Linked DNA regions of Saccharomyces cerevisiae S288C. Changing the gene in region 1 together with any one later gene gives a genetic interaction. Each region holds a gene or a part of one and is shown in the gene's direction. Other genes may lie near its edges.

Evidence for each region.
Region 2: mutations in GPI12 (region 1) and HXT4 together harm fitness more than expected from each alone (negative genetic interaction), as found in Saccharomyces cerevisiae (one large-scale study listed by BioGRID).
Region 3: mutations in GPI12 (region 1) and PGA1 together harm fitness more than expected from each alone (negative genetic interaction), as found in Saccharomyces cerevisiae (one large-scale study listed by BioGRID).
Region 4: mutations in GPI12 (region 1) and MCH2 together harm fitness more than expected from each alone (negative genetic interaction), as found in Saccharomyces cerevisiae (one large-scale study listed by BioGRID).

What each region holds. Positions count from the first base shown.
Region 1 is NC_001145.3:828,654-836,033, forward strand, and holds GPI12 (N-acetylglucosaminylphosphatidylinositol deacetylase), read left to right. Parts: upstream 1-3,685; coding exon 3,686-4,600; downstream 4,601-7,380. Other genes in the region: DNA-binding transcription factor CAT8, read right to left, coding at 1-2,676; AEP2 (Aep2p), read right to left, coding at 4,703-6,445; RIT1 (tRNA A64-2'-O-ribosylphosphate transferase), read right to left, coding at 6,673-7,380. UniProt on the Saccharomyces cerevisiae protein: Involved in the second step of GPI biosynthesis. De-N-acetylation of N-acetylglucosaminyl-phosphatidylinositol.
Region 2 is NC_001140.6:286,581-294,619, reverse strand, and holds HXT4 (hexose transporter HXT4), read left to right. Parts: upstream 1-5,808; coding exon 5,809-7,539; downstream 7,540-8,039. Other genes in the region: hexose transporter HXT1, read left to right, coding at 1,995-3,707; AHT1 (Aht1p), read right to left, coding at 4,930-5,478; arginine--tRNA ligase MSR1, read left to right, coding at 7,850-8,039. UniProt on the Saccharomyces cerevisiae protein: Low-affinity glucose transporter. Can also transport xylose.
Region 3 is NC_001146.8:334,422-341,597, forward strand, and holds PGA1 (Pga1p), read left to right. Parts: upstream 1-5,190; coding exon 5,191-5,787; downstream 5,788-7,176. Other genes in the region: serine/threonine protein kinase CBK1, read left to right, coding at 1-446; YGP1 (Ygp1p), read left to right, coding at 2,124-3,188; ASI2 (Asi2p), read right to left, coding at 4,057-4,926; IGO1 (phosphatase regulator), read left to right, coding at 5,931-6,437; NSG2 (Nsg2p), read right to left, coding at 6,648-7,176.
Region 4 is NC_001143.9:1,844-9,758, forward strand, and holds MCH2 (Mch2p), read left to right. Parts: upstream 1-4,263; coding exon 4,264-5,685; downstream 5,686-7,915. Other genes in the region: seripauperin PAU16, read right to left, coding at 1-338; YKL222C (uncharacterized protein), read right to left, coding at 1,660-3,777; FRE2 (ferric/cupric-chelate reductase), read right to left, coding at 7,248-7,915. UniProt on the Saccharomyces cerevisiae protein: Probable transporter. Does not act in the transport of monocarboxylic acids across the plasma membrane.

The sequences.
Region 1 (7,380 bases):
AAACAGTTTCAGCGTGTGCCAAGAGGCAATTCCAGGTAAATCCAAAAGCCTATCGTTTTCGATATCTTTGATGGTGTCGAGGAGAAGATTTTTATTATCTAAGAATAACGCACCACCTTTGGTATATTCCAAAGAACCTCTAGCACAGAGCAAAGAAAATCTGATTAACGTTCTTGATACATTCAATGGCAAAGGTAAATACATGGAATTAATGGCCTGGAAAATCGTAAGCGTTGCATTGGTAGCTTGTTGTAAAATGATATATGAGGATGATGTCCTTATAGCAGGAGAAGTCATATCAACATCTAATATCATGTGGTCCTGGTTGGTTGCGCCTTTAGAGTCGTTGTTGAACATTGACTGTTTCTTCTTTGTGGCATTATCAACATTCTTAGGCAAAGGTTTGGTTGCAATAACCGGTAAATGTATCATAGATTTGGCCAAGAAATAAAACAGCAATAGAATCTTCTTTTCAAATAATATTATGTCTTTCTTATCAAATTTGGTCTCAGTATTTCTTTGATTGGTTGCTCTAATCTCGTCTAAATTCACAGTTCCGTTTACAGTTATTTGAAAGTAGTACATTTCGGGAAGTTGATTTCTCCAGTTATCCAGTGCGTTTTCATGTACTAATGCAACTTCAGAAGTTATACGTTCATCCATCATTCCTCTCTTAAAAATCGAGTCTAGAATGTTACCTAATATTTTCGCAAATCTGATTATCTGCAATGAAAAGCTTGAAACTTGACCTTGCAGTTGAATCTTTTTAGCTTTTTTATCTGCTTTTTCATTTTCCATAGATAACTGATCCTTATACTCAACATCAGAAATTGGTAATGCACATTCAATATCAAAATCCTTAAGTAAACGAGGAACACCAAGTTGCAATGAGGCAAAAACGTCAACGTAATAAATTGCCCAAAACAGTAATCTCCTCTCGCTTTGCTCAAATTTTTGTAGAACTGGGTTAGAGTGTACACTTAATACGGCACTAGGACATCTGTGAAGTCTCAATTGTTGTGCCATAGAAACAATACGGCCTCTTACCCCATAGATTGCCGAAATATCACCCACGTTTAAATAATAAAAGGATGCCAAAGATAACAATTGTAAGGATGGTAATGAAGTTGTGGACATATTTAAAAAATAAGGATTTTTAGGAATTATTAGGGAAAGCTGATGATAATATGCCATCAATCTAGCATATTTGGCCTTCGGATTCTTCGGTACAGTGTATTTTATTTTTTCCATTTTAATCTTAACGAGTAACCCCATTTGTAACATCATCAGAAGCTTTAGGGCAAATATTTCATGATTAGTGGTGACTGTACTTTTAGTAGTGTTATTCGTCTCCAAATTTTCTGTAGATAAATGCTTCACGACTTCAACAAAATTGTTGAAATATATTAAGAAGTGGTCATTGTTTAGAATTGGTACCTGATTAGACCAAAATTTGAAAAAAAGGTGTAAAAGCTCTTTAATTTCAGTGAGGGAAAGTAGTTCATCATCCTGATCATTAGCCGGCTTTTCTGATTGCTTTGAAAACGAGTTAATGTTAAATTTCAAAGAAATTAAAAACTTTTTCAAATCGACAAACTCGGAGAGGTTTGTGCTTTGAAACCTTTTCACAAAAGCCGAATCATCATCAAGTTTTTTATCTTCATCTTTCTCCTTTAACTTGGTTGATGTTGAAGGTGCTAGAAGCCGTGGTGCTGGCAATCTATTTTTCAATGAAGATAATAATGAAACCGTATACAAACATTGCTTTGAGTTGAAACCAAATATTTGTCTTATCCTAGTTAAAAGCTGAGGAATAAACAGAATTTCTTCAGTAGATCTTGGGATGGATAAAGAAACTAAAGTTGCCAATTGAGTGCTACGTTGATGAGTCGTCATTGATTTTAATGCCTTTACCGCAGGAAGACCAGGTGCCTCGTCCTGTTCAAAAGATATAGCGGTTGGATCGTTTAAACTCGTAGAAGTAGGCTTGACGTGTAAATGATTTGTACAGGAAACGCCGTCACAAAGATGGTCTTTGTGTGGCGGTGGAGGTGGTGCCCCCAATGGACTCATTGCAGAACCGCTATTATCACCATCCATTTTGCCATTTTGTAGCTGCTTATTAACCGTTTGATTTAATAAATAGATATTTGTAGAAGACAGATTCAATGGAGCATCTTTCAAATCATGTTTGAAATTGCCATTTATGGTATTATCCGTTGATGTCTGTGGTCGCGACTGTGAAACAAGGCTTATTTGCTGTTCTTTGATATCACACAAAGCTAGCAAACGCTTATTCTCTGCCTCCAGTTCGCGTACTCTTTCTTCCAGGCTTTCTGTGTACCCTTTTGGATACGCTTTCCTCAGTAATTTATCGCTTATTCTGCATTCAAATCCGACAGCAGCACACTGCGAACACTGTGGTCTTTTTCCATCGCACCTTGTTTTCTTAGATCGACACCTGTCACAAGCTTGAGCTATCCTGTAAATAGGTGTAGATAAAGGAGTCGGAGAAGCTGTCTTGATCATTGCTTCCTTCACGTTCTTGGAAAAATGAGGGTTTGCCTCCGAACTTGAAGTTCTATTAGATATGCTAGGACCGCTAAGCGCTTGTGAACCCAGAGTTCTAATGACTCTGGGTTCCAAACCTTGTCGATCAGAATTATTATTTGCCATAATTTTGTGTCTTGTCTTTTACTCAACTTGTAAATTCTCTTTAGGGTGTTGTAACTGTTTATGAAGAAATAAATACCGTAATGAATTATTAAATTATTAAATTCTTCGTCTTTTTACAATATCACAGGTTTAAAGGGGAGTTTAACAAAATCTACTATTTTACGGCTGTTTTCTTTTTTTGAGTGTCACTGACCAATCATGCTTTCGTACCCCACAAAATATCAGCCCCGCCGCTCCATGCATGTCTCGGTTATCGCTTAATACGAATATAATCACTGAGAACCTCGGCGGCAAAAATATTTACCAATAGGCAAATTAAACACCGAAAAAAAGAAGTTTCAAGTAGAAGATTATCCCGAATACCAAAAAATTGCACGAGAAAGAATGTCTTTTTATGATTTATTGCTTATAATACTCAATTACTCTGGTTTTCTCCGTTCCTGTTACGCACATAAACTCTCTCTGTCTCTGATATCACAACTCATATCGCGAATAAACACCGGATAGAAAGAAGTGAGAGGAGCTACGATAACTGAATATACTCTTTCATCAAAAGTAATGTGCTAATAAAAAGAAATGTTGCACCATCTTAACAGATGTAAAAATGTTCTGCAGAAGGAAAGTTGTGTAATCATACACATTCAATAGTATAAGTCGTATCACAATCTGATGATAAAAGTTGTTACCTCTTTTAACTGCCTCTGATCCTTTTCACATTCAGTAATTTCTCGTAGATGTATATGTGCGAATGTGTCAATGTGTTTGTATGAAATAAACTAGTAGCCGGGTAACAAGTACTCCTAAATTCCCGCTTCGCCGTTTCTATCTCATTGGAGTCGTCCCTTCTAGAAGGTTTACTAGTTACGTTAACGTCATAGAAAAAGGAAAATCGACGCTGCGCTTTTATTTATAATCTTGCATTGCCCTCCTTATTTATCGAATTGTTAAGTGTAGATAGGTGACGCTAGAGCCGTATATTAGATTCTTTCAAACCCTGAAGAAAAGTTAAATGAAGATGTTGAGGCGTACAAAGGTAAATTTTTCAAAATTGCTTTACAAGATTACTAAACTAGCAATAGTACTGACGATCCTATATATTTATTTTACGCCCAAAATCGTCTCCCGAAACAATGCATCATTGCAGCATATTTTTCCTCATAAATATGGCGATTATGAAATCAATTTGGTCATAGCGCACCCTGACGACGAAGTTATGTTTTTTTCCCCCATAATTTCTCAACTGAATTCGTACTTTCCGAGAACCGTCCCATTTAACATAATCTGCTTATCAAAGGGCAACGCCGAAGGTCTTGGCGAAACCAGGGTAAGAGAATTAAATGAGTCGGCCGCTTTATTGCTACACAATGAAAGAGCAGTCTCCGTACAGGTGATGGATTTCCAGGATGGTATGGACGAAATATGGGATATTGATTCTATAACTTCTTCTCTTTCACAAAAGATAGATATAAAGAATCATAACTTGAACCAGATTATCGTTACCTTTGATTCATATGGTGTATCAAATCATATCAACCACAAAAGCTGTTATGCTGCCGTTAAAAAGTTGGTGGATGATTATGCTCAACCTAAGACCAAAAGAAATGAACAACCACCTCATGTCACTGCGCTTTATTTGAGAAGCTACAAGAACAACATCGTTTTAAAGTACAACTCCTTTATTTGGGAAATCCTAAAAATACTTTACGACCTGATTTCTCCATTCCGTAGAATAATTCAGGCGCTTCCGCCTAACACAGCCGCCGAAAAAGACAAGCTTTCACTTATGAATACACATGCACAATACGTACTAGCGTTTGCCACTATGCTAAATGCTCACGAATCCCAAGTTGTGTGGTTTAGATACGGATGGTGGATATTTTCCAGATTTGTCTTCGTTAATGAATTTGATGTTTATACATATTAGACTCTACACTGTAGATATATATATAAAAAAGTCCCATATTATTTACATCCTATAGAATAAGAATATGGAGAAAAATAAATGCTAATTCTACTTACACTTTTCTTACCAAAGGCTACCTATAATCATACCATCATCTTCATCGTCATCGAAACTATCTAGCCGCACTTTCTCCCTTTCCTTTTTGTTCTCAATCTTGTTTTTCATTTTCTTACTTCTTAGAAACATACGATTCGCACAAAAAATATTCAAATCTTTGGTCATTTTTCTATCAAAACCATAACTATCAATGAATTCCCTTACCGCTGAAAATCTACCTCTATTTACAAGCTCCTTAATAATACATTTTTGGTATTTGATAATGATATTGTTAACTTTTCCAGCATTTTCTGCTCTCGTTCTTTCGATCCCCGGTTTGAAACTCCTTAAAACATCAATTCCAAGCGGGAAATTGCCTGTTTTCTTCATGATATCGTACAGTTGTCTCAACGTCTCATAATCAACTGAAGGCCTTAGCCGCTTAGATGCATACCACTGCTTCATTAAATGCCAACATCTAACAACAGAAGTGGCTTTCTTGTCGTTTGCTGGTGTCCAAGCAAAATGACTTAGCTGAAACAGCCTTCTCCAAAATAGCGCATCCAATTTCACGTCCGGATAGTGCTTTATGAATGAATCCAAAATACTTAGGCCTCTGTGAAGATCGTGGTCATTAAAGTAGAATGACACTAAGATTGAAACGAGTATTTTGGAACTAGGATAGCACCCTCGGTGCTTAATTACTACGTGACTAGGAAACTCTTGGGGTGATATTTGCCATATATGTTCAATACACCGTTCCAATATTTGGGTTTGGCCTAGGTGTCCAAAGGATTGAATTAAAGTGGACAACAAATCCTCGGAATTCAAAAGCTTTTTCTCCTGCAGAGCAAGATCAGCAATCTTTAATAATGTTTGGTGATCCATGGCTTTGTAAGTAGAAGAAAGACGAATTGACGTATTTTTCGCACCTAGTCGAACCATTTTTCTTAAAAAACCTTGTTTTTGCTCACTATTATCTGGTATTTTCCAATAAGGCGCCAAAGCGCCACAACGCAGTTGTAAAAAGTGAACTATTGTGCTAATATCTGCATTTTTCGGAGACAGTAATATATCAGGATTTCTATCAAGAATAAAGCTTAAAATTTTTTGAGCCTTACCTAATTGACCGAGCTCTATAAAGTTCTTGATCATAAGATTTGCATCAAATATTTCACATGCATCTAGTTTCGTATTCCGTAAGTTAACTTGGTTTCTCTTGGCATCAACTTTTTCTGCATATAAGGAAAAAAGTTTGAACCAAAATTCTGAATATTTAGCGTTTATGTCTCTACAGATTCTCCTAATTTGAAACCGTTGTGTGTATAGTTTGCTCAAAAGAAAAGACAGGTCCTCTAAAGACAGAACATCCTTCGGTTCAGGGTCCACGGTTTTCGCGAATAAGTAACTTATACTCTTGGAAAATTCGGATTCATCCATTCCACTCGAGCTGATAATTCGTTTTAATGTGTGAACATCTATAGGTATACCTTTTGCCTCGAATTTGTCATAAGCGCTCCCATTATTTTCATCTTTTGATCGATCAATTGCACATACCGTGTGAGTTGAATAGGATTTTTTGATTAAAATATCATTTATGACAGCCCTACCCATTACATACGTTCTTCGGGGATAGACAGAATGACATATTGTGCTATTCGGCAGTACACCAAATTCACGCAGCGATTTCACTGATACAGTGCAGAGCCTCTTCGTGTAAAACCTCAGAACACTGTAGGATGGATGTTTAACCAGTCTATTTATCCACATTAATCATAAATTTAGGTAGTGGACTGTTAACGAAGGAGAGCTTCGTTAATTTGTTCTTGATTTTACATATTCTTTTCATTAGCCAATGTCTGAAGGGCTCTTTTTCAATGAACCTTTTCTGTTCAGGATAAACGGTAACCCGCTCTTTTTCTAATAAAAACTGACGTTATTTGATATTAAAATATACAGTGACATTGCGAGTAAACATCTCAGTATTGCCTAACTCACTACATTAAAAAGCTATTGACGCTGTTCAGTGTTGCTCTTGAAGGGTTAACGTTGCGTCCTTTCAAGTGGGAAATCAATTTTGTCAAGTGTTTTCTTACAATAAGCTTACTGATGTCCGGTAACTCCGACGTAAGCATCCATTCTTCAGTATATTTGGTACAAAGGATACTTAAGATGACACCGATTGACATATCAGTACCTGTATTGCAGCATATTAGCATTGGCTTTATTTTTTCATCTCGATTTGTAAACAACGATTGAATTTCTCCATGGATTCTAGGGAATGTGGATCGTAAAGCTTTTGAACTTTTCTTGTCTCCGCTTTGCAACTTGTATATTGAAATAAACGGATCTGTCCCACTTTCTTCTTCATCGTCTGTATCTTCAGCAACAGTCACCGAATTACTGAAAATTATAACTTTACCATATTCTGACTTCAATTTCTGTTTCAAATTCTTATTGATGGTTAAGCCTGAACTCACTTTTCCTAGAGATATCTCATTCGTAATTTTATCAATGTTTCCAAAGACTTCATCCAAGCTTCCTTTATCTTGTATATAACACTGATTTCTCAGCTTTGCAGCAGCCAAATCCATGATGTAATCATGTAACTGGTCGTCTGAATAACTTGCGTCGCCTAGGTATTCTATATGGGCCCAAAACATATTTGAATCCAAACCAAAAGACCAGAGCTCGTGATCGTCGGC
Region 2 (8,039 bases), on another chromosome or scaffold:
ATTGCACCATTTCAAATTTTAATATTAATATTAATCGTTTTCGTTCATATGTTCATTCATAGTTTACAAATAATGCAATCATATGCAGAGATATTTTGTCCGTGGTTAATAGGGCTGCCTGTTATTCCTTTAATTCAACTAAATTACGTATGTCTAATAATATCAAAATCATCATGACGTTTTTGTTTTTTTTCTTTATTTTAAGTAGGATCAAACCAGGGGAGAAAGGGTTGCTACGCCTAACAACAAGAACTTGTATATCGTTTCTTGTTACTTATACTTTTCTGCCCACTTCTCTCTTACAACTGCTCGAGCTCATCCTTGGTAATAAAACAGTGAGGACGGTTACTCGAGGTTTCAACAGGGGAAAATAAATTTATATGATGAATCAAGAGCCCCGTTCTTTTACCGTATTATCCTTCATACTACATACTAGGGAAAGAACTGAAAACTCCGCTACCTGCTGTAACAGCGCATAATAAAAAGCAAGAATATAGACAGTTACTGTTGTTTACGTTCTTTGATGACATCATTCTCATCAGACATACAGAAACACATCCTTTTTGTCTACCCCGTATTTATTCCAACTTCAAAGTATAGGTACCGTCCGGTTATACTCTCATATACTTTGTGGCAGTTTGCTTCTTTAAACCTTGTTAACCCAGAATATTTTCAGTGCAAAAAGCTTCCGATCCTCAAATACAGTGAGAGAAAAAGCAAACTTGTCTTCATTATTTTTCTGTTTGGCCCTGTCACGGTTCTTTTTATGGCCTTCTCGAAGGATATCCGTAGTCAATTATATTCACGTAGTTGCCAAAAGTAATTTTTGGAAAACTATTATTCCTCCGAGAAAACCTCACACAGAAATCCTTGCAGGTCTCATCTGGAATATAATTCCCCCCTCCTGAAGCAAATTTTTCCTTTGAGCCGGAATTTTTGATATTCCGAGTTCTTTTTTTCCATTCGCGGAGGTTATTCCATTCCTAAACGAGTGGCCACAATGAAACTTCAATTCATATCGACCGACTATTTTTCTCCGAACCAAAAAAATAGCAGGGCGAGATTGGAGCTGCGGAAAAAAGAGGAAAAAATTTTTTCGTAGTTTTCTTGTGCAAATTAGGGTGTAAGGTTTCTAGGGCTTATTGGTTCAAGCAGAAGAGACAACAATTGTAGGTCCTAAATTCAAGGCGGATGTAAGGAGTATTGGTTTCGAAAGTTTTTCCGAAGCGGCATGGCAGGGACTACTTGCGCATGCGCTCGGATTATCTTCATTTTTGCTTGCAAAAACGTAGAATCATGGTAAATTACATGAAGAATTCTCTTTTTTTTTTTTTTTTTTTTTTTTTTACCTCTAAAGAGTGTTGACCAACTGAAAAAACCCTTCTTCAAGAGAGTTAAACTAAGACTAACCATCATAACTTCCAAGGAATTAATCGATATCTTGCACTCCTGATTTTTCTTCAAAGAGACAGCGCAAAGGATTATGACACTGTTGCATTGAGTCAAAAGTTTTTCCGAAGTGACCCAGTGCTCTTTTTTTTTTTCCGTGAAGGACTGACAAATATGCGCACAAGATCCAATACGTAATGGAAATTCGGAAAAACTAGGAAGAAATGCTGCAGGGCATTGCCGTGCCGATCTTTTGTCTTTCAGATATATGAGAAAAAGAATATTCATCAAGTGCTGATAGAAGAATACCACTCATATGACGTGGGCAGAAGACAGCAAACGTAAACATGAGCTGCTGCGACATTTGATGGCTTTTATCCGACAAGCCAGGAAACTCCACCATTATCTAATGTAGCAAAATATTTCTTAACACCCGAAGTTGCGTGTCCCCCTCACGTTTTTAATCATTTGAATTAGTATATTGAAATTATATATAAAGGCAACAATGTCCCCATAATCAATTCCATCTGGGGTCTCATGTTCTTTCCCCACCTTAAAATCTATAAAGATATCATAATCGTCAACTAGTTGATATACGTAAAATCATGAATTCAACTCCCGATCTAATATCTCCTCAGAAATCCAATTCATCCAACTCATATGAATTGGAATCTGGTCGTTCAAAGGCCATGAATACTCCAGAAGGTAAAAATGAAAGTTTTCACGACAACTTAAGTGAAAGTCAAGTGCAACCCGCCGTTGCCCCTCCAAACACCGGAAAAGGTGTCTACGTAACGGTTTCTATCTGTTGTGTTATGGTTGCTTTCGGTGGTTTCATATTTGGATGGGATACTGGTACCATTTCTGGTTTTGTTGCTCAAACTGATTTTCTAAGAAGATTTGGTATGAAGCACCACGACGGTAGTCATTACTTGTCCAAGGTGAGAACTGGTTTAATTGTCTCTATTTTTAACATTGGTTGTGCCATTGGTGGTATCGTCTTAGCCAAGCTAGGTGATATGTATGGTCGTAGAATCGGTTTGATTGTCGTTGTAGTAATCTACACTATCGGTATCATTATTCAAATAGCCTCGATCAACAAGTGGTACCAATATTTCATTGGTAGAATTATCTCTGGTTTAGGTGTCGGTGGTATCACAGTTTTATCTCCCATGCTAATATCTGAGGTCGCCCCCAGTGAAATGAGAGGCACCTTGGTTTCATGTTACCAAGTCATGATTACTTTAGGTATTTTCTTAGGTTACTGTACCAATTTTGGTACCAAGAATTACTCAAACTCTGTCCAATGGAGAGTTCCATTAGGTTTGTGTTTCGCCTGGGCCTTATTTATGATTGGTGGTATGATGTTTGTTCCTGAATCTCCACGTTATTTGGTTGAAGCTGGCAGAATCGACGAAGCCAGGGCTTCTTTAGCTAAAGTTAACAAATGCCCACCTGACCATCCATACATTCAATATGAGTTGGAAACTATCGAAGCCAGTGTCGAAGAAATGAGAGCCGCTGGTACTGCATCTTGGGGCGAATTATTCACTGGTAAACCAGCCATGTTTCAACGTACTATGATGGGTATCATGATTCAATCTCTACAACAATTAACTGGTGATAACTATTTCTTCTACTACGGTACCATTGTTTTCCAGGCTGTCGGTTTAAGTGACTCTTTTGAAACTTCTATTGTCTTTGGTGTCGTCAACTTCTTCTCCACTTGTTGTTCTCTGTACACCGTTGACCGTTTTGGCCGTCGTAACTGTTTGATGTGGGGTGCTGTCGGTATGGTCTGCTGTTATGTTGTCTATGCCTCTGTTGGTGTTACCAGATTATGGCCAAACGGTCAAGATCAACCATCTTCAAAGGGTGCTGGTAACTGTATGATTGTTTTCGCATGTTTCTACATTTTCTGTTTCGCTACTACCTGGGCCCCAATTGCTTACGTTGTTATTTCAGAATGTTTCCCATTAAGAGTCAAATCCAAGTGTATGTCTATTGCCAGTGCTGCTAACTGGATCTGGGGTTTCTTGATTAGTTTCTTCACCCCATTTATTACTGGTGCCATCAACTTCTACTACGGTTACGTTTTCATGGGCTGTATGGTTTTCGCTTACTTTTACGTCTTTTTCTTCGTTCCAGAAACTAAAGGTTTATCATTAGAAGAAGTTAATGATATGTACGCCGAAGGTGTTCTACCATGGAAATCAGCTTCCTGGGTTCCAGTATCCAAGAGAGGCGCTGACTACAACGCTGATGACCTAATGCATGATGACCAACCATTTTACAAGAGTTTGTTTAGCAGGAAATAAACTAAACAAGCTCAATATGCATATTTTAATGACTTATACAGTATTTAATTTCTCAGTAAATTTTATAAAGGTGATATTATATTGGTGTTAAAACAAAATTCTTGTCAAATTCATAAACAGATGTTCTTTTCTTTGCTAGTTCTTGACCTTCACCAAGGAACAAGAAATTTCATTCTGGCACTCTTCCGAGGAAAAATTTTATATGATATAGTATGGGTTAATACCACATAGGCGCTATACATAGTTCAAACGCCCGCTTATGATTTCGGAAAAATGTCAAATGAATAGAAATTGACAACGCTGCTGCTTCAACATCTAGTAGTGTTACTTAAGCCTGTTAGGATGTTGTTTTTAGGTATTTATAATTACTAGCAATAATTTCCATTAACAGATAACCGAGTCGATCTCAATGGATATACAGTTGCCAATCATATGTATTTTCTGACTGGCACAGGGAGACACGAAAAACACTTGCTTGATAAGAGGTGAAGCAGTAAAGAAAAGACGACAAGTAAAAAAAAAATGACGAGAAAATGCACGCTACCATCGAAAAGGCGACCTTTCCAATCCACTAAGAGTTACTTTAAAATCGTTGAAAAAGCATTATGACACTATGTTTGGCGCCAATAAGAATACTACGTCATTATGCATGGAGGAGAACCGAATATTTTTTTTTTATTCCAGCCCTCTTCATGTAAATGTTCTGATTGATAAAAGAATGAAAAGCCCTAGGGTTATTAAATCCAAAACTTAGGCTGCCAACCTGACATTGTAGACAAGACACGACAGCGGTAAGAGAAGATCTGAACAGCTGACGCAAGTACCCCAGATATTTTCCAACTTTTACGGGAAAAAAGACTAATAGGAAGGAGGTGGGGAATCATGCTTTAGTTTCAACTTTGAGGTTTAGCTTTCAGACACGAAAACTAGAAGGAACATTATGTTGTTTCACTTTCATTTTGGAACAGAACTACGCTACCGCATCAATTTGCGGGAATTTTGATTTGGCAACGCGCACGTATTTTCTAGCGATGCGTAAAAGTAAAACAGTCAAGATAGTCTCATCCTAGATGGTGCAAAGTTAGGACCGAAAAGCCAGGTTCAACGATGTTGCCAAATAGTCGTACCTGAAAAGCTTAGGTTTTCCATTTATGCGAATATCTCTATGCAAAATAAATTTTAAGTACCTCAAAATTTTTTTGCACCGATCAAGATATAATAATCAGATGAGAATGAATAAACAAGACGCAGATGAAGGCTGGGCCTCCAACGAAACCCAGTACACTGCAGTAATTTCCACCAAGAAACGCTTGGCCTTCGTAAAGTCACTTGCAGCAGCATAGCGGAAACAAGGAAGAAAAATATCCGAGTCAGCTGGTTCCGGGATTTTTTTTTGCCCAATAGGAAAAACAATGCCCAAACCGGAACCATTTCCCGTTTTTTCTTTCGGTTTATCCGCTTTCTTCCAAAAAAATCCGTACAAAATGGAAAAACAATGTTTATATAATATTCCACATTTTTCCTGGCCTGCGTCTCTTTCTGTGGAGAAGAAGATATTTCCCTGAGCAGTTTTTTTTTCTGACCCCTTTTTTTTTCCCACCCCCCCCGGTTTTTTTTCCATGGGGCCCCATATTCCCCCGCCTGCAGGAAAACTTGGGGAAAGAGGAAAAACACTTCGGATAAAAACGGTCAAGAAGCTCTTCGACGATTTAGTGCCACCTTCATGAAAAATTCCAGAGTTTTTTCCAGCTGCTTTGATTTTACAGTCCATTATTCGGCGTCTAACGATTCTGATTAAGAAACAACGGAGGAAAACTCAAATTCTAATATAATATTTTTAAGTTTATGAAGGTGGGGTGGTAAGAAAAGCAACTAAAATAATCTTCAAGTCAATTAGTGGTGAAAAGCTTCAACACTGGGGAATGAATAATATGTCATCTAGAAAAAATTTTATATAAATACTCAGTGTTTTATTCATTATTCTCGATTCATTCACTTCAATTCCTCTTCATGAGTAATAGAAACCATAAAGAAAAGATATATTCAAAGCCTCTTATCAAGGTTTGGTTTTGAAACACTTTTACAATAAAATCTGCCAAAAATGTCTGAAGAAGCTGCCTATCAAGAGGATACAGCAGTCCAAAATACTCCAGCTGATGCTTTGTCGCCAGTTGAATCCGATTCTAATTCCGCTTTGTCTACTCCATCCAACAAAGCTGAAAGAGATGACATGAAAGATTTCGACGAGAATCACGAAGAATCTAATAACTACGTTGAAATTCCAAAGAAGCCCGCCTCCGCCTACGTTACAGTTTCCATCTGTTGTTTAATGGTTGCTTTCGGTGGTTTTGTTTTCGGTTGGGATACTGGTACCATTTCTGGTTTTGTTGCTCAAACTGATTTTATCAGAAGATTTGGTATGAAGCACCACGATGGTACTTATTATTTGTCTAAGGTTAGAACTGGTTTAATTGTCTCCATTTTCAACATTGGTTGTGCCATTGGTGGTATTATTTTAGCAAAATTAGGTGATATGTATGGTCGTAAAATGGGTTTGATTGTCGTTGTTGTCATCTACATTATCGGTATCATTATCCAAATTGCCTCAATCAACAAGTGGTACCAATATTTCATTGGTAGAATTATCTCTGGTTTAGGTGTCGGTGGTATTGCCGTTTTATCTCCTATGTTGATTTCTGAAGTCTCTCCAAAGCATATTAGAGGTACTTTGGTTTCATGTTACCAACTTATGATTACTTTGGGTATTTTCTTGGGTTACTGTACAAACTACGGTACCAAGACCTACACCAATTCTGTCCAATGGAGAGTTCCATTAGGTCTAGGTTTCGCTTGGGCTTTGTTTATGATTGGTGGTATGACATTCGTTCCAGAATCTCCACGTTATTTAGTTGAAGTCGGTAAAATTGAAGAAGCTAAGCGTTCTATTGCTCTTTCAAATAAGGTCAGCGCAGACGATCCAGCTGTTATGGCTGAAGTCGAAGTTGTTCAAGCTACAGTTGAAGCTGAAAAATTAGCTGGTAATGCCTCCTGGGGTGAAATATTTAGCACTAAGACTAAGGTTTTCCAACGTTTGATCATGGGTGCTATGATTCAATCATTGCAACAATTGACAGGTGATAACTATTTCTTCTATTACGGTACTACCGTTTTCACTGCTGTCGGTTTGGAAGATTCTTTTGAAACTTCTATTGTCTTGGGTATTGTCAACTTTGCTTCCACCTTTGTTGGTATTTTCTTAGTCGAAAGATATGGTCGTCGTAGATGTTTATTATGGGGTGCTGCTTCCATGACAGCTTGTATGGTTGTTTTCGCTTCTGTTGGTGTTACAAGATTGTGGCCAAATGGTAAGAAGAACGGGTCTTCTAAGGGTGCTGGTAACTGTATGATTGTCTTCACATGTTTCTACTTATTCTGTTTTGCCACTACCTGGGCTCCAATTCCATTTGTTGTTAACTCTGAAACTTTCCCATTGAGAGTTAAGTCCAAGTGTATGGCTATTGCTCAAGCTTGTAACTGGATCTGGGGTTTCTTGATTGGTTTCTTTACTCCATTTATTTCAGGTGCTATTGATTTCTACTACGGTTATGTTTTCATGGGCTGTTTGGTCTTTTCTTACTTCTACGTCTTCTTCTTCGTTCCAGAAACTAAAGGTTTGACTTTAGAAGAAGTTAACACCTTATGGGAAGAAGGTGTTTTGCCATGGAAATCACCTTCTTGGGTTCCACCAAACAAGAGAGGTACTGACTACAACGCTGATGATCTAATGCATGATGATCAACCATTTTACAAGAAGATGTTCGGAAAAAAGTAGGTCAGTTAATTAAATAATATAGACTTCCTTCAAGGAATAAAAATAATATTTGATCTTCAATTTTTAACGCTTTATGAAATATATATTTATGATTTAATAGTTTATAGATAATACTTTATCAAACTACAATTTTGAATTATGTTTTTTGTTTCATAGTTCTGGAAGAGGTTAGGAATAGGCCGAATTCTCCACTTAACGATGGCAAAAGGTCATCAATAAATACGACAAAAAAGACGTAAATACGTAGAACACAACTTTGATCTACCGTCAATCAAAAAGCTTTGAATGACCTACCTGAAAGTGGGTCAATATGTTCGGGATAGTTTATCTGAAGAATCGCAGTTTACTCTGCAAGAACCCCTTTTCTTCTTACCCTCGTTATGGCTTCATGCCCTCGTTCGACACCCAGTTCAGCAACCAATTTCGTAAATTAGAAATTAATATTGGACGGAAAAGATACAGCTCAAAAACCTTGAATACAAAATATACTGACCAACCCG
Region 3 (7,176 bases), on another chromosome or scaffold:
CTCCATTCTGTTCCGAAACTCCACAGGAAACGTACAGAAAAATCATGAATTTTGAGCAAACTCTACAATTTCCTGATGATATTCATATCTCTTATGAAGCCGAAGATCTAATCCGTCGACTATTAACTCATGCAGACCAAAGACTTGGTAGACATGGTGGTGCAGATGAAATAAAAAGTCATCCATTTTTTCGCGGTGTTGATTGGAATACAATCAGACAAGTAGAAGCACCGTATATACCAAAGTTGAGCTCCATCACCGATACTAGGTTCTTCCCAACCGATGAGTTGGAGAATGTTCCAGATTCCCCAGCTATGGCACAAGCTGCCAAACAAAGGGAACAGATGACAAAGCAAGGTGGAAGTGCGCCAGTCAAGGAAGATTTACCTTTTATTGGCTACACTTACTCCAGATTTGACTATTTGACAAGAAAAAATGCGTTGTAGGGACGCGTTAAGGACATTCCTCTTTATTCAAGTATTTATCTATGGATGTAGAACGCACATTATGAATAAATAACTGCACTTTTTTCGGGAAAAAAATTACCAAAATAGACATCAGCTTTATCATATGTCTCCTTGAAGTATTTGAACGACCACCTTTCCGAAGACAATGTACCTAGTAACCTACAGGCTGCCCTTAATCCATACATCCACGCACAATAGCACAATCTCGGTGATGGCTGGTTTTTTTACCTTGAAAAACAAGAAAAATGGCTGATGTAGTTGAAAAAGGTAAAAGAGATGGCAGATCAGGGGACGATTTTGTAGAGGAAGTATCTATATATATCGACCATATTGAAAAAAATATGAAATAACATACACACGTGTAAGAATATATAATTTTTGTTATTAACACGTCGTAAAAGAGAAAAGATCGTGCTTTCATCACGCGCTTCCTCTCGGCCTTTCGAACTATAAATTATAAGATGATCCAGTCTTACAATACTGAATGAAACTCAGGGAAGACGATAGCGGAGGTTCGACAACCGATCACTGTAAAACCTACACTTTCAAGTTCATTAATCGTCGCTTGAAAGATCGTCATAACCAAATATTGCTAGAAACAAAAGCGTTCGGGATAGGTCAAACCATGATGAACTAGTTCCACACGCATATCTTAAAGCGTGCTATTTTTTAAAAAGGGCAAATTTAGGAATGTCTGACGGAATCCCTAATCATCTTTGGCTTTTCCCTTCACTCCCTTCTTTTACCGACGATGGTTTGAAGGAAAGAGAAAAATGAGCAATAGGAAAATTCAGTAGTCGATTTCCATTTCAATTCCCTATTGGGTAATGTGGCGGCGAGGGCTAAACATTCGGTATCATTGATTCAATGTTCTCACAATGTTCAAATTCTCGGATCGGGTATCCCTAATTGGGATCTCTTTCCAGAGGAAGGGGCCTTGATGTGGGATTGAAGACACATGAGTTTTTTTCTCACCGTCGAAACTTTTGCTTACCCGTAAAACATCGGCCATTCGTTGGTTTATTATGTGACTTTTTTGTGACTTTTTTTTTTGCGAAGTTTTCTCGTCATCCGCGGAAGATCCGGCGGGCGAAAAAGTCTCTCACTTTTACCCAATCGGGGCATGTTATGTGGACATGTTATGTGTCCAAGAGACACATGAGCCCAAAAAGGGTACACTGTCTAAATAGTTTACCCTTTACGAATCGAAACTTCTCGAAGAAGGGGCCGAAAATTAGCGCAGAAGTTGACGAAAGTTTATACTTTTCCTAATGGAGAGGCTCAGGAGCTGAAAAGGGATATATTCGTACTCTATTGCATCTTCAAACTCCGAAGAATCTCAGTAGGGAGTGAAGCCGGCTTCTCGATGCTACAGTTCAACATCGATACTTTGAAGAAAGAAAGCGCCTATTATATCTCTTTTACCCTATTAGTAATAATTAGGAAAAAGGGAGAAAAAAGTACCTCACTAAAAAAACCATCATCTCTGAAATATAAAAAGCTTGATAGAGGGTGACATTTGCTAGAACTTCTGCTGTGTTCTCTTGGGTTATTGCTCTTATTGAATATCCCTTCTATTTCTTTCTTGCTTGTAAAAAATCAGCTCAAAAAACATCTACAGGATTAATCGTCAGTTAAGTAATACAGTAATAGAAAATGAAGTTCCAAGTTGTTTTATCTGCCCTTTTGGCATGTTCATCTGCCGTCGTCGCAAGCCCAATCGAAAACCTATTCAAATACAGGGCTGTTAAGGCATCTCACAGTAAGAATATCAACTCCACTTTGCCGGCCTGGAATGGGTCTAACTCTAGCAATGTTACCTACGCTAATGGAACAAACAGTACTACCAATACTACTACTGCCGAAAGCAGTCAATTACAAATCATTGTAACAGGTGGTCAAGTACCAATCACCAACAGTTCTTTGACCCACACAAACTACACCAGATTATTCAACAGTTCTTCTGCTTTGAACATTACCGAATTGTACAATGTTGCCCGTGTTGTTAACGAAACGATCCAAGATAAGTCATCCGCCGGTGCCGTTGTTGTTGCCAACGCCAAATCTTTGGAAGCTGTCTCATTCTTCTTCTCTATCATTTTTGACACCGAAAAGCCTATTGTTGTCACTGAAGATTCCGCTTATGCCATTCCAGTCGCTAACAATAAGAACGCTACCAAACGTGGTGTCTTGTCCGTCACTTCTGACAAATTAGTGTACTCCGGTGTCTTCACTCCACCTACTGCTTGTTCTTACGGTGCTGGTTTGCCTGTTGCTATCGTTGATGACCAAGACGAAGTTAAATGGTTCTTCGATGCTTCTAAGCCAACTTTAATCTCTTCTGACTCGATTATCAGAAAGGAATACAGTAACTTCACTACTCCTTATGGTCTATTAGAAAACGGTGTTCCAATTGTTCCAATTGTCTATGACGGTGGTTACTCTTCCAGTTTGATTGACTCCTTGAGTTCTGCCGTTCAAGGTTTGGTTGTTGTTTCTTCTGGTTCTACCAACTCAACCTCATCTACTATTGAAAGCACTGAAATCCCAGTCGTATATGCTCAAGCTAACACTCCATTAAACTTTATTGACAACAAAGATGTTCCAAAGAACGCTGTGGGTGCTGGTTACCTATCCCCAATTAAGGCCCAAATCTTGTTGTCCATTGCTGCCGTTAATGGTGTCACCTCCAAGTCCGCTCTGGAAAGCATTTTCCCATGAACTGATAGATATTAAATCTAGCGAAGCATAGAGATTCTTTTTTTACCAGTCATCATAACCATTATTTTACAAAATTTCCACGCAACAGCTTTTATTTTCGTTCGTAATAGGAACCATACTTCCCATTAAAGCAGTATGATTGTTTTATACACCTTTTTATTGTTATTTAAGACATACCCCAAATAATTAATTAATTAATTGATGAAAGAATCATATAAATTCTTGGCCATACATATTTTTTTATTATCTTTTGCTACATTGACCATAGGTGAATATCTTCCCGGGGTGACACTCCACTGAAGTGGGAAAAAAAGAAAAGTTTTAAAACATTGCTCACCTTAAGTCTCGAAGGTCTAGCATTCACTACCTGTAAGTGTCAAGACCCCACATGTATACATGGATACAATAAAGAAACAATGTCCGTATAATTTGTATACATTTTACTACAGATAAGGGATCTCACCCCCTTCTTTTGTGTCTAAGTGAAATCTTCTGATATATTTAGTGTTTTATAGCGTCCATGTTTTAAACTAGAACGGCAAAATAGTAGTTGTTGTAAACGCTTATTTTCGAGACATCAGGTAAAAAGGATAGTTAAATCTTACAATCAATGCATGTAGTGAGTGGCGTTTATCAATAGTTTTTAACAATTCCCATTTTGAAAGAAGCCCACAACAACCCTAGTAGTTCGTTAATATACGTTATGATGGTCAAGTGTCACAGTACGGAAAGCTTGCAAACAGCTCTTACATAGAGGAGTTGCTTCAAAATAAACGTCCTCTGGTGTCAAGTGTCTCATACAGCGACCACATGCGAAAGAAACTACTACAGATAAGCAAATACACAAATTATAATCGTGGATTCATCATCAGAATACGCCTGGCCCTGTAATCCTTTGGCTCACCAACATTCGATGGACACCTTTATATCTTCTAATAACAGTGAATAATAGACACAATACGAAGAAAAACCCAGCGGTAACCATGTAAACGGTACCACTTACGCCATAAGCTAAATAGATCAGAATGGTAGAGACTTTGACAAATAGCTCGAAAGCTTTAGCGAACATTAGTCTTATCCAATTTAAGTTGGGTTCATTGCCATCTCTACTTTTCATAATATGTTTTATCACAGGTGAAGAGTAAAATACAATGATGTTATGAAACTTTCCAAGCAACCCTAATTTACCAGTATCCTTATATGCTATTAATGTCGTGCCACCAGAACCAAATATCTTGGCAAATTTCCAGTATCCCACGATTTCGATTATAAAATCATTCTCTGAAAAGGTCATTGAATTGAACCCGCTCCTTAATATGTTGTATACGGAAAATGGGAATAAAATTAGCCCAATAAAGTAATCTAAAATGAATAAATTTCTAAGAAAAGTTCTGAGAGGGCTCTGCTGCCTTGCTGTGAATGGGGAATCGGCCGTATTGGCGTTGGTGGCTCTTATAGTGTCTGCATTGATTCCTCCATTTCCGTTTGTGGTTGCATCCATATTAGCTGCTCTATTTATATTTGAAGTAGAACTCATATTCCTCCTAAGGGAGTTAAATATTCCATCGATTGCTTGCTGTACATCCTGCTGTAGTTCTTGCTGAGATTGCTCGGTTACAGGTGAAGGCTCTCTACTATGCCTCGTTTCCGATTCTTCTAGAAATCGCTGAAACAGATAATCATCATTATCGTCTCTTTCTGTCCAATTACTGCGGCGATGATTTTGAGGCCTCGCCATTTTTTCTCACTAAATGCTTGTGAGGATGTATGCGTTTGATTCGGTGTCTCTTTAATCATATTCCCGAATCGACCCTATTTGAAGGTAGAGGGAGTTGTTTCCTCTCACTATTGTTATAAAAGATCATCAATGACGGAAACTAATATGCAATGAAAAAATGAGAAGTTTACATGAATATGAAGATTAACTGCACAGCAATGTTGTTGACCCTTGGTATTCGCACACACTAAGCCAACATAGGTTCGTTCAATTTTTAAAAAGAAGATGGTCCGGCCTCAGAATGTTCACTGGTTTATCGCTACAATTGTATTTTTCATCGGATTTGTACACGCTAATACAGAATCAATCTTATATAAGGTTCCTCACAACTTTCCCCTCAAAAAACCAAGAGACAGCTCTACTTATGCAAGAGATGTAAACTTGATATCTTCCATATCACTATCGGGAGAAGCAATGAGTCAGATCACTATCGAGGCCAATACCACTGACTTGGAGTTGCATAATACTACGTATATTGAACTGGCGGACTTACAGCGAGACGAAACATATCAGATTAAAGTGTGTTGGTCAGCAATACATCCAATTTCCATTAATAATCTCCAAACTATCACAATACCACGTTTCACTGAATTTCAGGGAACTAAGTCAGACTACGCGAGAATACTAGTGACTTTCCAGGTCTTGTCTGACTCGTATCCTAGTGAGCATGCCATGGTTCCAATACAAGTCTCATTAATCACCACTCGGCTAGGTATCCCCGTGGATATTTACCCAACATTAATCGTTATGGTGCTATTAGTAGCAGGGCTTGTTGTTACCCGGGCACCACACGTATTGAACGATCTTTTGCTGAAATTTTAGTATGGAAGCCTGAGCCCCCTTTGGCTGGATAGCTTGGCCTCATCACAACTAGAACGTAAAAAAGTCCATTAACCATCAAATGCTTCTCATTAAAGTGGGTATTTTTATCGAAAGAAAGGGACCTGAATATCTAACTCGCCGCTATGTCGAATGAAAACTTATCTCCCAATAGTAGTAACCCAGATTTAACTAAACTGAATAACGGCGAAAGCGGAACTATTGATACCAGCAAATTCTCGCCCAACGAAATGAAGCTATACAAAATGTACGGAAAGCTGCCATCAAAGAAAGATATTTTTAAGCATACCATGCAGAAAAGAAAATATTTCGACAGTGGTGATTACGCTTTGCAGAAAGCTGGCATTCAAAACAATGATCCAATAAACTATGGAAAGAATAACCTGCCATTAACAAATCCCAGCAAACTACGAGAAGATATAATAAAAAGAAGGATAAGCACTTGTCCGTCAACTGCCTCAACCGCTGGTGTAGTAGATAATGCGACGTTGATACAAAAGGAGGGAAGTATATCGAGTGGACCACCATCGTCTAATAACGGTACTATTGGAGGTGGTAGTACAAGTTCAACGCCAGTGGGGAACCACAGCTCTTCGTCGTCCAGTTTGTATACTGAATCACCCATTAGATAAATAGACAACCTGTACTTTTTTATATTTTTTTAGGGAAAGAGAAGGGTCTCTTATATTTAACGCTTATTATGTGATTTCTCGAAATGTCAAGTGTTACAGCCATATGGCTGACTGTGTTTACGTTAATTAGTTATATATAAACGATAAGCCATTCTGATGTTATCTTCTTGTACTTCTAATTAATAATATTTACTCGTCAGAATTTCGACTTTAATGAGAATATAGATATCTTCCTAGTTTTCCAAACATTAGAGAACCAAGGAAATAAAAATCCATGAAATATAAAAATTGGGAACCGTCGATAATATCTTTGTAGCAAGAGATACAACAACCCACCCCAATGCAGATGCAGCTCATTAACATGGATATTGAGCCGTCAAAAAACAACCACAGTATAATATTCAGAAGCCCCCATGCCCCTGCCGCCTGCAAAGAGGAGTTCCACTGTATTTTCCTGATCCCAAATGTGACTCCCAACATGGCATTGATACTTCTAATAACAGAGGTCAAACTGTCATGGTGGACAGAGCTCTTAACAACCTCTGTTTGAAAAATATTATCCAGAATTGGTACAACAGAACCAAATAACAGTCCTTCAACACCGTAGCCTAACCAGTTTGGCAGAACCCCATTGGATAGCCAGTTACAAAGTTTGACACCCAGTAGAAGGGGTCTCGATGCAAAATCTGGATGTAAGAGATGATTATCGTGCAAGTTTCTGGACAGTTCATGATATGCG
Region 4 (7,915 bases), on another chromosome or scaffold:
AGAGCACTGGAGATAGCTGGTCTCAATCTGGTAGAGTACCATGGGACACCAGTGATAACTCTGGTGACTTGTTCAGCTGGAATACCAGTCAACATGGTGGTGAAGTCACCATAGTTGAAAACAGCTTCAGCAATTTCAACTGGGTAGGTCTCACTTGGATGAGCTGCTTGAAACAAGTAGTATTGGGCCAAATGAGCTCTGATATCGGAGACGTAAACACCCAATTCGACCAAGTTAACTCTTTCGTCAGATGGAGATAGAGTGGTAGTGGCTGGGGCAGCGGCAACACCAGCAGCGATGGCGGCGACACCAGCAGCGATTGAAGTTAATTTGACCATTATATTTGTTTTGTTTCTTAGTGCTGATATAAGCTTAACAGGAAAGAAAGGAATAAAAACATATTCTCAAAGACATACAGTTGAAGCAGCTCTATTTATACCCATGCCTTCATCAGTCATCACTACTTAAACGATTCGTTAACAAGTGCTCATTTAGCACCTCACATATCCTCTATATCTCATCTTTCACACAATCTCATTATCACTATGGAGATGCTCTTGTTTCTGAACGAATCATACATCTTTCATAGACTTCGTATGTGGAGTACTGTTTTATGGCACTCATGTGTATTCGTATGCGTAGAATGTGAGAATGCCAATTATAGGGTGCCGAGGTGCCTTATAAAACCCTTTTCTGTGCCTGTGACATTTCCTTTTTCGGTCAAAAAGAATATCCGAATTTTAGATTTGGACCCTCGTACAGAAGCTTATTGTCTAAGCCCATATTCAGTCTGCTCTAAACGGCTTCCATGCAAGAAATATTTCTATCTCTTGAATTCGTACAACATTAAACGTGTGTTGGGAGTCGTATACTGTTAGCGTCTGCAAATTCGTGAATTCTCCGCGAATGCCTTGGTGCAATTACGTAATTGTAGCCGCTGAAGGCGGATGGTATTGAGAGAAGTTGATGTTCAAAGAATCGTGTATGATAAAAATAAAATTGTAACAGTTTATAAATACTAAACTTTACTTGAAAAGTCTTTTAGTCCGAAAATGAATGTGGGAATACTAATTACAAGCCTCCCATGGCACTTCTTCATTTCTTTTTGACTACGAACATGGCACTTTTTCAATTAATTATATTTAATAAATATTTCTTTTTACTTAAATTTTACAAAACCCAAGGTCATTATGGTGATTAAACCACAGTATATATATGTATATGTTGAAGAGGTTTCAATTCGGCCAAAACGACAGTACTATATCTGAGTCTGCACTAGACAATATTGAATTTACTTACCAATTAGCATTAATATACCAGAAAAATATCGAATTTCTTTTTCCGGAATAAAATACTTCTCTTTCAAAATATTCATTTGCAAATTAGAATACATAGGATATTATGATGTGCACCTAAAATATAGAGAAACATACTTAGAACTTACATATCAAACGTTATCTTAGTTATTAAAAATGAAAAATAGCTGGGCAGTGACACCTGAAATACCCCAAAAAAAAGAGCAACTATCTAGAAAAGTATGTAGAAGTCCGAAAGGAACAGAGGGTGCCACCAATAGCTTTCACAAAGAGTTCCTTTCGTGTTGGCAAAAAAAATGAGTCACTTACTACAGGTTCAATTTTTATAATTCAATTGTTGTACCTATCTGGAAAAGAAGTCCTCAAAATTACTCCACCCGGAAATAGCTGTATCAAAGAAGGCACTTGGAGAACCTAATATATCATCGATGAAATTTTCCGAGAAATCTTCTAAAGGTCCCTCTAAATCATTTAGTATAGTTGTTAAACTGTTTTCAGTTGCATCATTTTCGGTTTCAGGCCCTTCATCGATATTTTTCATTCCTTTGTTAAAAGCTCTTCTTCCTATTTTTTCCATTGATATAATAATAGAAAAGTAATAGGAGTTTTGCCAAATTTGAGTAAGAGGTTTCAACTTTTCTTGGTGAATATGATCAAATATGTTTTCCATTTCTTTAAATGCAATTTTCAGTGAAATACACTTATTGTGTGGACCCTCAAAGTCTCCAGGACATATAGAATAAGTTAGTGCGGACGAATTTCTCTGAATGAATAATTGGATATCTTTATTTTCCATATACTGTAGAAAAATGGTATAAATTTGAATTAATGCTCTGAAAGCGTTCACATAAATAAGAAACAACGCATTGTTTAAATGGGGCCATTTTTTGGAGAGGCATAATGACTTAGAAGATAATTTGCTGTTGTCTAATTCAAAATAGGTCTCAAGGACATTAAAGCACAAATGTAATGAATTTAGTGGAGCCAGGACGCTAAAATTGAATATTCTCGCATCAAAATCTTGATGTGTTAAGGTATAAAGATTGGATAAACTTCCTATCATATGGAGAGTTGCATGCCATAATTGAAGTTCGGTGAACTCATTACCATTTAAATTAGATGCATTTAAGTAAAAATCCAACGGCTTAAACATTTTAATGGTGAACTTTTTTAAGTCCTCGATGATGAGTGGAATGTCAGGCGGTTTCTCACGAGCATGAATTTGTTTCATAATATTTCTCAGTCTTAATGTTGTTTTATACAGAAGGATGTCCCCTGATGAAGAATAGTTTTCTAGACGTACCTTGTTTACAAAATCGTCGTTGATTCGGACCGGAATTCCTGTAGAGAGTGAAATTTTAACGTCCGTGAATAGGATCCATAACCACAATCTCTCCAAGTAAGGTATTTCCTCTATTGGATGATTTTTACTCAGATATAAACGACGAAGATCTTCATTAAGGCCCATATGGATAGCTGTGTCAATTGTCAGACCATGAATAAATATGCAATGTGACTGATCGCCCCCGTCAAGACCCGCCACATTTATGTACAGGTAACGTAAAAATAAAAATTGCACACGCTCAGTATAAAAAACTTTAGCCGAAACAAAAGACGTTAAAACTTTATGGAAGACTTCAATAGCCTCTGGCACTTCTTTTGGATGGGATGCTAAGCACATAATGGCTGTCATAACACCCACTTTATAATAATTTTTTTTACTGTCCAGATTAAGGGAAATTATTGTGTGCTGACCAGTTTTATGACTTCTTGGGCCTTTAACAAAACAATCTTGCAGATCCCTTAATACTTTTTCTTTATGAACAATTTGGTAACTATCGTAAAAATCGCTAGCAAAAAAATCAGTTAAATACTCACACAAAACTTCATAATTTGGAAGCGATTCACATAAGTATTCAATAACACTTGGTGAGCCTGAGTGCGGTGGGGCAGTCTCAATGGAACTAATCTCCGAGAGTGTTGAGTAATGATGCTCTCTTTTCCAGTTGTTACGGCTGAGTTTTAGGACTTGCCATATCTCCTCTCTGTATTTGGCAAAAGTATCTGTTTGAGTTGCTAATATTGCTCGATACGACGTTGGTCCATAAAGAATGTGCCTATTGTGCTTTGAAGATAAATATCTCATGTTGGAAAGAGGGTTTTGTCCTTCGTGAATGTTAGGCTGGGATTGTTTTGTTAGCTGAGATTCAAGCTCTTCAATACGACGAGCCATCTCTAATTTTGAACATCTCCTGTATTTTTTCCTGAGTTGGTCCTCCATGGCGGAAGTGTTTTCTTTATATTCACATTGCTTTCGATTTCGAGAAGAGCAACTTCCACAGAACGGTCTTACTCGATCGCACTTGAGCTTTCTTACTCTACAAAAGTGGCACGACTTTGCAGGCTTTCTTCTACTCTGCCTATCTAATTTTTTTTTTTGACTAAGTTCCGTATTCTTCATTTTCTATTGATTATGGAAAGTATATTGCTACAGATTCATTATTTCCAAAGCAACCGTTATTGGTTACTAGTGCTGGACAATTGATATGTAATCAGTTGCTATACATCTAGATCAAGTTGCTCTCTTCTTTTGACGTTTCGAATATTTTTTGACTTCAAACTTGAAGTGCACACTCATCTTTTCAAGGTTTTTTATGATTCTCCGTTTTATGGCTATTCCCGCTTTTAACATAGAGGCGATGCATGGAAGACAATAATTATTTTAAGGTGCTTTTGAGATCAAGATATTTTTAAGAGTACTCACTATGGGTATGAGATAATAAAATATATTCCGTTTTCTTATTATTTCCATTCTTCAGATTTTTACAGGCTAAACACACATATATAAAAATGCCATCGGATATTCAATTCAGTATCCTGCTATTGATATAGAACTATATAACTGATACTAGAATATACTAATTCGTGCACTATTAACCGTTTGGCGATGTCCGAAGAACGGCATGAAGATCATCATAGGGATGTTGAAAATAAATTGAATTTAAATGGTAAAGACGATATTAACGGGAATACCTCAATCTCGATCGAGGTGCCTGATGGAGGATATGGGTGGTTTATTCTTCTTGCTTTTATTCTGTACAACTTTTCTACTTGGGGGGCAAATTCTGGTTATGCTATTTATTTAGCGCATTATTTAGAGAATAATACTTTTGCTGGTGGGAGTAAATTAGACTATGCTTCTATAGGTGGGTTAGCATTCAGTTGTGGACTTTTTTTTGCCCCAGTTATAACATGGCTTTATCATATATTTTCAATTCAATTCATTATAGGCTTAGGGATACTGTTTCAAGGGGCAGCGCTACTGCTTGCAGCTTTTTCTGTCACACTCTGGGAAATTTATCTCACGCAAGGCGTTTTAATTGGATTCGGTTTAGCATTTATTTTCATACCCAGTGTCACACTCATCCCACTATGGTTCAGAAATAAAAGATCTTTAGCCTCTGGTATAGGAACTGCTGGAAGCGGGTTAGGTGGTATTGTCTTTAACTTGGGAATGCAAAGTATTCTACAAAAGAGGGGCGTTAAATGGGCGCTCATTGCTCAGTGCATAATATGCACATCACTTAGCACCATTGCGCTTATGTTGACCAGAACAACACATCAAGGCCTACGTCAACATAAGAGATCTTACAAATTTGAATTGCTAGATTATGATGTGCTTTCAAATTTCGCGGTCTGGTTACTTTTTGGATTTGTATCATTTGCTATGTTAGGATATGTTGTCCTTTTGTATTCCTTGTCTGATTTTACCGTTAGTTTAGGTTATACTAGTAAGCAAGGCTCATACGTATCGTGCATGGTGAGTGTCGGCTCTCTGCTGGGACGACCAATTGTGGGTCACATTGCTGATAAATATGGATCACTAACAGTTGGCATGATATTGCACCTTGTCATGGCCATCCTTTGTTGGGCCATGTGGATACCTTGTAAAAATTTGGCCACTGCGATAGCTTTTGGATTATTGGTTGGTTCTATTATGGGAACAATTTGGCCAACAATTGCTTCAATTGTTACACGCATTGTTGGTCTTCAAAAGCTTCCTGGTACCTTTGGTAGTACCTGGATTTTTATGGCGGCTTTTGCCTTAGTTGCCCCCATAATCGGTCTGGAACTTCGTTCAACTGATACGAATGGAAACGATTATTATCGTACAGCAATATTCGTGGGTTTTGCGTACTTTGGTGTTAGTTTATGCCAATGGCTATTGAGAGGGTTTATAATAGCTCGAGATGAGATTGCTGTGCGTGAAGCCTATTCAGCTGACCAAAATGAATTGCATTTAAACGTTAAGTTATCACATATGAGTAAATGTCTTTTTCGTTATAAACAATTACCTAGGAGAGTCTAAAGGTCACTTTTATTTCACACTGTAGATAAGAAGGGGATAGAGTTGCCAGAAAATTTTTTGCTTTATCAGCTTTTTAGATTTGTCTTCTCGTTTTATAAATAATGATAATTTAGTACAATAATAGATAATAAAAACATTTTTTTTTGCAAATTGAAAGCTTAACTGGTTTTTTAAAAGAAAATATTAGTGACCTTCTACCGACTAAAATCTTCCACTAAATCCCCAGTAGAAACATAAGATAAGGTTGAAACTTTTTTAGGGCGATTATATTTTTAGTCCTATACATGTTTGATGGCATACTTTTTAAGGAAGATTTATGAAGCTATGTTCCACATAGGTTTATGTGCTATTGATATATACTATAAATAAAACGCTCTACCCAAGAAATGAAACATTTTTTAAACTTTTGTCATCAGCACAAAAATATGCGGATTTACGCGTTTGTCATTCCTATAAACCTTAACCTTAACGCGAAACCATATTTCGCTACCTAATGTTGGTTCGGTGCATTTTGAGAAAAGGAACTAGGTTCAGATATCATGCATCGAATCTATTATCTTCCAACCGAACTTTTACAAACGTTTAGACCGAGCGTTATTGACTGAATTAAGAGCAAGTTTTTACACGTGTGACTCTGGCACATTAGAGCTGTTTGAGAATCTAAAGTCTTGCTGTCTAAGGACCAAAAATAATGTATTTCGAGGTCATAGCTAAGAATCTCATTGTTCTTCAGCACTTGCTAATCACATATCTATTTCTAAGTACAAGATGATAGTTAACAACTAATAATGAATAAACCAGGTAAAAAAAAAAAAAGAAAAAGCTGTAAAAGACGACAACGTTGGCGTCGCGAAAATATTAATAGAACCATATGTTGGATAATGTAGCCTCTATTATACACTTATCCCGATTACATTGTTTTAGCGACGGTAATCATCTTTTTATCCGGCACTCTGAATCAAACTCTATCTTTAAGTATCCTATATGCATGAGTTATGTCGATTATATCGAAGACTCGGTGTGTGATATTACTCCACAGTACAAAAACAGGAATACAGAGAAAATTGAAAAGATATATGAACGGATGGTATGGTAAATAAAATAACAGCCATTATAAAGCTTGTGGTAAATTTTCCAGGACGGAAGTTAGCTTATGCAGTTTTGTTTATCTTCCTTGCATCTGTGTATAATACTGAAACACGCAATTAACGTTTCATAAAATTTGCCTGAGGGCCGTATAAAAATTCAGTGACCATTGTTCACACTTTAAATATAGCCAAATTGCCAAGAAAGGGTTTCATTGCAGGTTTATCGAAATATTAACTCTTTAAATACAGGGACTATACAGAGCTAACTTCTTAAGAAAAAAAACCATGCGACACACTACGACTTTCACAAATTCCATAAAAGAGATATTTAAGATTTAGATAAAATATCAAAGGACTGCTGTACTCTGCTTCAATTACCTCCTTACCATAAAGTTATAGGCAGCTTTCTCCATCGACATACTAAAATTTGGATAGGTATTATTAATGAAATGACTAGTTTTAAGTAAAAAATGATCACCAGCATTGATACTCTTCAAAGTACTCAATGGCTTTTGCAGACTTATCTAAAACTATTTTTGCGGTTTCATTCCTCACTTTGTCAACAAAAATAGGAGGTCCACAGCAAACCACAGATAATGAGCCACTCAATTCAGCCGCTTCATGTAGAAGTTCCTTAACATTTGGTCGCCCGCAATGGAAAACAACACCATCAAAACCAAGTGGATTGGCAGACTTTTCTAAAGTAGTTGCCACAACAGTGCCTTTTTCATCAGCCTTCTCATCCTGTTGAGAAATATCTAAACTATCACTAGGGGTTAATGATGGGACTTCCATTGTGTTGTAGATGTGAAGCTGTACATTCAGATTTTCTAAACACATCAACTCCGGCTTATAAGCCTCGAGTACGTCGAATCCTCTAACTGCAATCACTAATTTTACAGATTGTTTTCCAGCAGCCGCTGACGTCTTTCCAAGTTTAATTGCATGTGCAATAGGTCCAGGCAAACCGGTACCTCCAGTGAGTAACAATACATTATTGTAATTATTGACCGGAGATGAAGAACCATATGGACCTTCTATAGCTAGTCTCATAGATGTCTTACCTCCATTGCGACACACATACTTTTTGACAAGTCTTGTTACTCCCTTTTTTTCTTTCAGGATAATAACCAGTTCACCAT